Linked DNA regions of Drosophila melanogaster. The protein of the gene in region 1 interacts with the protein of each later gene in a pairwise test. Each region holds a gene or a part of one and is shown in the gene's direction. Other genes may lie near its edges.

The links. The genes of interacting proteins can lie anywhere in the genome.
Region 2: the proteins of CG15136 (region 1) and Mtl interact in a two-hybrid assay, tested with the Drosophila melanogaster proteins (one large-scale study listed by BioGRID).

Annotation. Positions count from the first base shown.
Region 1 is NT_033779.5:17,046,614-17,050,236, reverse strand, and holds CG15136 (uncharacterized protein), read left to right. Parts: upstream 1-1,955; 5' UTR 1,956-2,108; intron 2,109-2,168; exon of another isoform or gene 2,169-2,171; 5' UTR 2,172-2,255; coding exon 2,256-2,466; intron 2,467-2,627; coding exon 2,628-2,989; 3' UTR 2,990-3,076; downstream 3,077-3,623.
Region 2 is NT_033777.3:27,634,677-27,640,437, forward strand, and holds Mtl (Mig-2-like), read left to right. Parts: upstream 1-1,872; 5' UTR 1,873-2,160; intron 2,161-2,184; exon of another isoform or gene 2,185-2,377; intron 2,378-3,161; 5' UTR 3,162-3,211; coding exon 3,212-3,327; intron 3,328-3,396; coding exon 3,397-3,629; intron 3,630-3,702; coding exon 3,703-3,863; intron 3,864-3,946; coding exon 3,947-4,024; 3' UTR 4,025-5,195; downstream 5,196-5,761. Other genes in the region: CG5611 (uncharacterized protein), read right to left, coding at 322-428, 490-1,363.

The DNA of each region.
Region 1 (3,623 bases):
TTGTCTATCTGCTGTCCCTTTATATATATTATTGCGGATATGTATGTCTGTCCCTGTGGGGCTTCCCGGCAGTGCTGCTGATTTTATACATTCAAATTAGTTCGCTTTGCACGAGTGGCCCTCGAATGAGAGAGAGTACTGCTGTGATATTTCCCGACCACGGCTGACTGGCCAGGCAACCAAGCAACCCGTCGGAACACGGCACAACCGCTCCAATGCCACTACAGCATACATACATACACAAAGATATATGTATATACATATATATATGGAGGGGGTCCGGATTGGGGGGCTATCAAGTTGCCTGTGAAGTGCTTATCCTCAAATCAGTGACACTTGAATGTGCAGCCCATGTGACTGACCAAGTGGGTGACTGACTGACTGCTGAGCGACCAGAGCTGTCATCTTGGCTACTTTCCCTTCACAAATAATATAATGTAATATAATACAATTTAATATTATTCGTTTTTATATTAACGGTTTATATCTGAGGCATATTCTGACATGACTTCTTCATTCAAAGCTGAATAAAAGATATGATACGTTACTCCTTCAAGGGAAATACGCCAACACTGAGCAGCAACTTTACAAAAGTGCGAAGACTTCGTTTCATCTATTTACTTTGCCCTTCGACCACCGCTTGCCATTTGAATCTGAAACTGTCCAACAATTTGAGTGTTGTTTGTGTCCCTGATTGAGTAGCTAAATAAACTTTGGCCTTTTATTTAATTTAACGGATTTATGACTGTCGAAGATAATTGTCAAATGGCTTAATAGTGTTATTGAAACAGGAAGAACTACATGGTATTTTTTTACACAAAATGTATAGAATAAGAAGTCAAAAAAAAAAAAAACATCCCTTCAGAAACTAACAAATTAGTCGGACTAAACCTATAAGCTGAAAAACCTTGTCTATTCCACAAAATGGCCAATAAATTAGCGCAAGTAATTTGCGCAATTAACTAAAAACAGTTAAAACCGCTATTTGTTCGGTTAGCGAAATCGCTCGATACAGCAGCGCGAATGCAATGAATTGGCAATAAATTCTCGGTTCTCGGTTGAAACTTTCTCTAACCCCTTTCTCTTTATTTTATTCGATTGTGTGGGTGTGTCGGCAGAGTCAACTAATTTATGTTTTAACACACTCGCACATGCAAATTAGCACACACACAAAATGAATGCAAATATTGGGTTCCAAGGGGGCTGAAGCTGCCATAATGAGCTCAAGTTGGGCAAATGGCTGAATGGGTGAATGGGTCTGAGGTTTTCAGGCGTTCTTTGCGGTTCATCTGGCAACAACTGTTGACAAAATGAAATCAATAAATTTTAGCGCAAATCAATTAAAATACACCAGCCAGATTGAATTAGAGTGCTGGGTGCTTTTGGTCTTCTTCTTGTTGGCCAAACGAAAATATTTGTCAATTTGCGGTATTCACAAAATTAAATTTGACACACACGCACCAGCAAGATGGAATGTCAGGATGAGTTTTAGGCAATTTTATCTCACTTTGTGTGAAATTTGTTATAATTTATTTATACGGCTTATTAAAATTATTGTAAGTTCGGCCATTTAATTAAAAGTCAAACTTTATTTGCAACGAGAAAAGCGGAGCAAACATGACAGTTGAAAGTGGAATCAAATTTATGAAATCGAATTATGGCATGCATGGATTTGAAGCAGTTTTCGGGTTAAGCCCCAATAAGATGGATAAACCCATAAATCCTCAAAATAACAATCTAACAGAAATTGAATGGAGGTAAATAACCTTTGACATTTCAAAGAAATTACAAGGAATCGGGACAAAGGAGCATGGTTAACTTACTTTTTTTGAAATAGTTTTCTATTTAATTGAGTTGTACGTTCTGCAATCATAAATTGTGTATGTAAATAATAGTGTAGCTTTAATCGTAGTTGACTTTTCATTACTTATCCAATTAAATTTCAAAGGCCAAGCATTAAAAATAGTAGGAACACAAATTACTTCGTGAAGACAAACGTTGAGAGATAAACACCCTCATAGCAAAAATCGGCCAATACCAAAGTTTTGGCAAAATATTTTGGAAGCGGCTGTCTTTGGTCATTCATTAATATTTGGCACTGAATACCGGTAAGAAAATCAAATAATCAGGTAGTTTGCCCTGCCATAATTGTCAACTGAGCATTTAAGCAGAATAGAAAAGCTACTTGAAATCGTCCGGCCGGAACTCAAATGTAGATTTGAAAAACTATTCAAGTGTTAAGTGCTCTGCTGACCATGTTGAAGGACACCGCCACCGCATCGACCAGCGAACTTGCAGGGGAAGTGGGTGACGCCCATTCGACTCCTGGCAGCTGCCCTCCGCCCGCCGCGGGCGACACGCCCCCCGTCGTTAGCCGACCGCTGGACCGACGCCTAAACCCCAACGCACCTGTGTTTGTGCCCGACTTCAAGGCCAGCCAGGTGGCCAAAAAGCTATTTGATGAGTGTAAGTACGGAAAGGAAATAATGTTTATTTAAAACAATATATATTGTATTTTGAAGCCCTTTATATATATTATGCTTTGACTTGCATAGGTTTTTAGTATTGTGCATTTATTTATTTCTTTTTAATTTCCTGATGGATTTATAAATTTAATACCCATGCAGTATCTACGTACACCCGGTGGAGTACGGCAACCTCGGAGGACATATGCTACGAGCCCCGTTACGAGTCCATCTGGCGTGAGGCCAGCATCCAGCAGCAGCAGGGTCTGCGCCATCCGGGTTTCGTTTACAGCCTGGATCCTGGCGAGGAGGAGGTTGGCGAACTGGAGTTTGACGAAGTCCAGGCCATGAATATCGGAGCCGAGTCCTATGATCCCAAGCTAGGAAGCACATCAGTTAGCCAGGCAATGGAAGTTCGCGAAACTGTGGGTGATGTGGAGGAACCTTTAGATGAGGAAAAAAGGAATGGCTTTCAGAATCGCCACTCCGCCAGACCGGCCAAAAAGTGCTGTCTGGTCATGTAGGTCCCACGGAATGGCAAATTTATATATTTATTTTCCATTTGTTTTCACACCTACATGCAACTCAGTAAATTGCTTCCTTACTCTCTCAATTTGTGTATTTTTTTCCTATACCATAGGTGCTTATAAGGGATTTCCCTTTTAGTAAGTAATTACATTTTTTCTGAATTTAATACGCTTCCAGCGCGAAGAATTAAATTCTACAGGTATTTTCCAACGTCGTTGCAATTAAGACGCTTTTCAGAACTTTCTAAATGCACTCCTTTCAAGCCCACTTACGGCAGACTGGAAGAAAGGAAGCTCCGTGGAGAAAGGTCGACTATACCTATGACATAATTTATAGCCTACATTTTAGCGCCCTAAACGGGTTTGTTTTACTTTCCACGAAGGCTCTTGCCTTTCTGCCTTCAGCTACTTTGTCCTGACTTTCTAATGATGTTGAATATGCATGAAAACTTTTGCCGCACGCAGAATTCTCCTCGCTGGATGGCAGCTGAAAGCTTGATTCACCTGTCTATGGGTAGCATGGCAGCAGGACTGCCTTCAGATTTAACTACCACTGAAAATAGTACGGGCTTAAATAACTAATTTTTAAACTCAATAAAATAACATGTGGAATTTAAAAAACACCTTCACT
Region 2 (5,761 bases), on another chromosome or scaffold:
ATTACTCGACGCTAGCATATTTTTTATAAGTGTAAACTAATTGTGAATGTTGAATCGATCGACAGCAAGGAATACCGAACTTTGTGCTTTTCCTCTCAACTCTTTTTTGTAGTTAGGCTTAATTTCAAGGAAAATTCGTTATTGTAATTGTTGTGAATATTGAAATAAGCGCGAGTCGTAAGCGATTTAGGCGGTCAACTACATAAATCATTAAATAAATGTATTTTACGTGAATAAAGGCTTTCGTTTTATATATAACAACAAAGTATTGCAACTAACCAGAAGAACAGAAGTTTTGTATATATCAGCTAACTACATATGTCATGTCTTTTGCTTTTGTTTTTCGATCTCGATTTCGGCCTTTTCCCAATCTGGAATGGTTTTCTCCTTTATGCTCCACGAATCGGTTTTGGGGCCCTTTATTTCAGCTAAAATATAAAAAAGGAAGGTAACAAAGTGTTTCTAGGAATGAACACGAACACTACTCACAGTTCTTGAAACGCTTCACGCCCTCCTGCATATCTGTTATCATATCTGAGGTAACATTCATGATCTCATTGTAACTGGCCACATGGAATCCTGGTTTGTTGTAGGCATTGGCATTTTCAAGCACAGCATTCCTGTCGTGCATTAGGGAAGCCATGGGGAACTTGGCAATGGAAAAGGCCAGATTAACAGCTTGACCTAAAGCTGTGCCTGTGGCCACAACGCGATTCACTAAACCGATTCGCCGCGCCTCCCCAGAGTAGATGCGTCTTCCAGTTGCGATGATCTCCAAGGCATTGGAGTAACCCACTGCAGCGGCCAGCCGCACAGTTCCACCATCGCTCAGGGGAACTCCAAGGCGACGGTTGAAGAACCCCAGAACTGCAGTGTCCTCCATCACCCGGAGATCGCACATTAGAGCCAGTTCCAATCCACCGGCCACACAGAAACCGCTGATGCCGCAAACAAGTGGCTTGCGGAGATGCCGCCTAGTTGGTCCGACGGAGCCCTCGTGACGCAACAGAAAGTTGAGGCTGCCGCGTTGCGCCTCCGCCTCTAGCTCCTCCAGATCATAGCCTGCACAAAAGGAGCCACCTATGCCGTAGAGCACACCCACTGGAGAAGTATCATCCGCTTCGAATTGGCTAATGGCTTCGGTCAGCTGCTCCGCGGTGTTGGCATCAATGGAATTACGCTGCTGCTCGCGATTTAGGCCAATAAGTGTTATGTGCGAGTCCTTCTCCACCAGAACTGTGCGGGCAGGGGCACCCTCTTGAGATTCGCTTTCCGCATTTCTTACAGTAGCCAAAGAAATGCGTCTGCAGCCCGAACTAGTTTGGTTTGCACTCTGTAAAAGTTTATAAACAAATCTGCTCATTACGACGCTCGAAACAACAACAGTGGACATAGGCAGCATGGGCGTAGTCGATAGCAATTAAAGGGTATTGAACTTACATAAGATAATTTTAAAATGATAATTTTTTAATTAACAGGTAATTATTACAATATTCTGCTCGAAATAGAATTAAATAAATAATTTTGTTTACAATGTGAAAATTGGTTGCAACCCCTCTCCCACAACCATGCCTATTAGTATTGTATAATGCCAAATCCGCCTGAGCCCTGCACCTTTTGCAGCACTGCTTGTCAGTTTCGAGAGAGCGGAGCTGGACTACCCGCTCTCTTTTTTCACGCCAAGTCTAGCTGATTTTTAAGTGCCAATTGTAAAAAAAAGTTTATTTTAGTTTTGGAAAAAGAAAAACGACTTTATACTGGATGATATGCTTATTAAGTTTAGTTATTGGTACCATACATTTAAGTGATTTTTTTATATTTACCGTCAGCTATTTTCTGGCCCTAAGTTGGCACCACTGTCAACGGCGAGAGAGAGAGCGTCGCTGCGCTGTCAAAAAGGTGGGTGTGTGTTTGTGTGGAGTGGAAACAAAAAGGAAAAACACGAAAATTATTCGGGGACGCTGCGTTTTGTCCCTCAAACAGATATTTATAAGTAAAAGCCGCTGCGAAATAGTGCGAATCAATTATTTAAATGCGCCGCATGGACCATCGCCTCGAACGCATATCGGTAGCCGGAAAACGCACAGTGATATAAGCCAAGTACAAAACAGTCGCCGCCTGCCGACAGACAAAGGAAAAGGATAGGTGGTGGTGAAAACGGTAAAATAATATTGTATTCCCATTCGGTGTTGTGCCACAACAAAAGATTTTCATTGCTACCGCACCCGCCCCCGCGGCCACGCCCAGCCCCGTTGCATGTGGCGCAATATGTGCCGCCTCTGTGTGTTGAACTTTAATTGAATCGGTTATGAGAACTTAATTGTGTCTATTTTCGGGCGGTTCATTTTCCCATTTTGTGTTTCTTTTTCTCGATGCGGTGCGTCTGCCGGTGGCTTCCGCGTCACCACAACACTCGGGCGACCCCGCCCACCGCCGAAGGGGCGCCACTGGAGGGGCGGTCGCCATTTGGTCCGCTGCTCCCATTTATGCTTTTTGTTTTTCCCCGTCTGTGTCGCCCATCATGATCTATTTTTGAAAATTTTATTTGCGAAAACAAAGTGCCACCGCAACCGAAATGAGACCCTCGTTCGTTTTATTAGGCTTTATGGGCCTCCGCCGCTGCGGTTGCTTTCTTTTTGCGGCCGGGACACACCTTTCGAGAGCCCTGCCTTTGATCATCCCAGAGATATACCGTAGACCTTCGCCATTATACTCTGTACAGTAGTACTTCCACAGCTTGGACATTCCCACTTTACGATGTAGCATACTCCAATAAGTATAACTTCCATTAATACAATATAAATAGTTTGCGACTCAGGAAGCAAGTATCCTGATTCAATTTGTCTAGATATTCAAATTTTAAAAGTTGCCAAATTCCATTTAAGCAATTGTTTATCTTATATATATGTAGTTGCGCGCCAAAAACGATGTGGTAGTTAATTTATTTATAAAAACCTAATAAAACGAATAGGATAATTTATTGTGTCATATATGTATTTCTACAGCATTTGTTTCTATTTTAAAGAATTTTTATTAAGGAAGTACGACTGTGAAATAATTTGCGGTCAGTTGGCACTGGCGGGTTTATTGCCTCGAATAGAACTTAATTAATTGAATTAAGCTGGCGAAGACATTCATCTTCCATCTTATTTTGCCCACAGCACACAGACAGTACACAGCTATCGGCACAGGCACACTCAGCACACTCACGATGTCAACCGGAAGGCCCATAAAGTGTGTAGTCGTTGGTGACGGCACCGTCGGAAAGACCTGCATGCTAATCTCCTACACGACAGACTGCTTTCCCGGCGAATATGTGCCCACAGTGTAAGTTTGTGCCTCGATAGCCGCAAACCGCAGATCGATATCTAACTTTTACTATGATATCTTTCACAGCTTCGACAACTACTCGGCGCCCATGCAAGTGGACACAATACAGGTCTCGCTGGGACTGTGGGATACGGCGGGTCAGGAGGACTACGACCGCCTGAGACCGCTATCCTACCCGCAGACAGACGTTTTCCTGATATGCTACAGCGTGGCGAGTCCCTCGTCCTTTGAGAACGTCACCTCGAAATGGTATCCGGAGATAAAGCACCACTGTCCCGATGCGCCCATCATTCTAGTTGGTAAGTTGCCAAGCGACATGAAAACTGCAATCAGAAAACGAGAATCATACATATATCTTTGGGCGTATTCCAGGCACCAAAATCGATTTGCGCGAAGATCGAGAGACACTCAGCGGCCTGGCAGAGCAGGGACTGACGCCGCTGAAGCGCGAGCAGGGCCAGAAGCTGGCAAACAAGATACGCGCTGTGAAATACATGGAGTGCTCCGCCTTGACGCAGCGCGGTCTCAAGCCGGTAAGTCATCGGTGCCCGGCACACCCTCCACCTACCCCTTATTCATCATTAAATTTCCCTTCCCACTCCGATTGCAAATTCAGGTGTTCGAGGAAGCGGTGCGCGCGGTGCTCAGACCAGAGCCGCTAAAGCGACGCCAGCGAAAGTGTTTAATAATGTAAATAAGGTAGAATGTTATTGGCTTTGGCGAAGTATAGAGATTCCTCGGAAGCGACACGTACACCGGCACAATGGCCACAACAAATTGACACTCACGCAGCGCCCTCATCGACAAATCAATTACATGTATTTATTTATAAAATTCTCCGTACTCTCGTAAAAGGCACCGAACCCGGAAAGAAACTCTAAACAAACGATAAATATTGTACGAAATTCTGTGAATCGAAATGTACTGCCATCAAAATTCGTATGAAATTTCTCTTTGTTTGGCTGTTTTTTTCTGCGGATCGTTGCTGTCACACATTTGGCAAACCACGATTCCCTCCCGCAACAACTAAAAAAAACATTGTTAACAAAATCGGTACCACAGATAAATCATAAATCTAATGCACTACATATGTAGAAATCTAGTCAATTGAATCGAATGTATTGTACGAATAGTATCTGGCAGAAAGAGAAAATTATAACAACCGCAGCAAACATTGGTTTCGCATATCACGAGCATCTATGCATTTCCTAGTTTCCCATTAAATGTATTATAGTTATATATAGCCATGAGCTAAGGCAGCCAATCCGCAGCTAACCAAATCTGAAACCAGGCCAATTCACTTGACGACGAGCTCTTAGAGAAGCCACTTTTTATGATATTCAAGCATGCGCATTTTTTTAATTCTAACTCGACCCTCGAATCATAATCATAATCACTTGAAGCTCATTTGACGATGTCTTTTGAAAATGTAACAACTGTTGTTTATTATTTTATAATGACCTATTTATTACCCTAACTTTAAAAACGAATTGTATAAACAACTTTTATGGCTTAAGTAGAGCAAAAGGATGATGTAAATGGAAAAAGGCAACTAAATGCATTTAAATGTGACGCGACTCGAATAATCGAAAGGAACAAGAATCAAAAACGAATACAAAACCTAAAGAAACCAAGAAAAGCACACAGTTTTCCAAACACACAATGAGCACGATGATAAAGACGCAATGAGACGTAACGAAATCCCAGGACAATTTTTGTACTAATTATATATAGAAAATCAAACGCAAGTCTTATGTAAATGAAATGTAAACGAAGGCCGTTTGGCTCCAGCGATGTAGTAGCCGTGAAACAGATTTAATACTTACGAAAATATATACTGTAATTATATAAAGAAACAAACAAACAAACCACAGCTGTATTTTGTGCTTAACTTTGCCTCTCATTTAGTCGTTTATTGTTATGTTGTAAATGCCAAGTTTCGTTTCCATTTCGGTTCTAAACAATCAACGGTTTGATAAAATGTATTCTGCATATGCATGTTTTAGAAGTGCGTGCCTCGATATCAACTTGTGCACAAATCTCTGAGTGCTTCGATTGGGTGACGTCACGTGCGACTTGTGGAGCAGCTCCTTCCTCGACAGGCTCAATATAGGCGGAATGGCTTCGAGTGGACGGCCTGGCCGGGCTTCTTCTTGGGTCCCGCGCTCTTGGGACGCTTGGGCTCCGAGTTGAGCGAGGGCATGGATACGGAGAGAACCAGGCACTCCGCCGGCAGGGACATGGACGAGGTGAGTGTGGTGGCCCGCTGGATGCGCGGTGCCTTCCAATACTGCGGGAATCGAAAGAGAGGTGTTTAGAGACAATCGGCTCGGACTCGCTGGAGGAGCAGGAGTGATGCAAAATAGTTGTCATAGCTCGATTGAGGAGATGGCGACTTACAATTTGCTTGATCAAATTTATTTATGTTTCG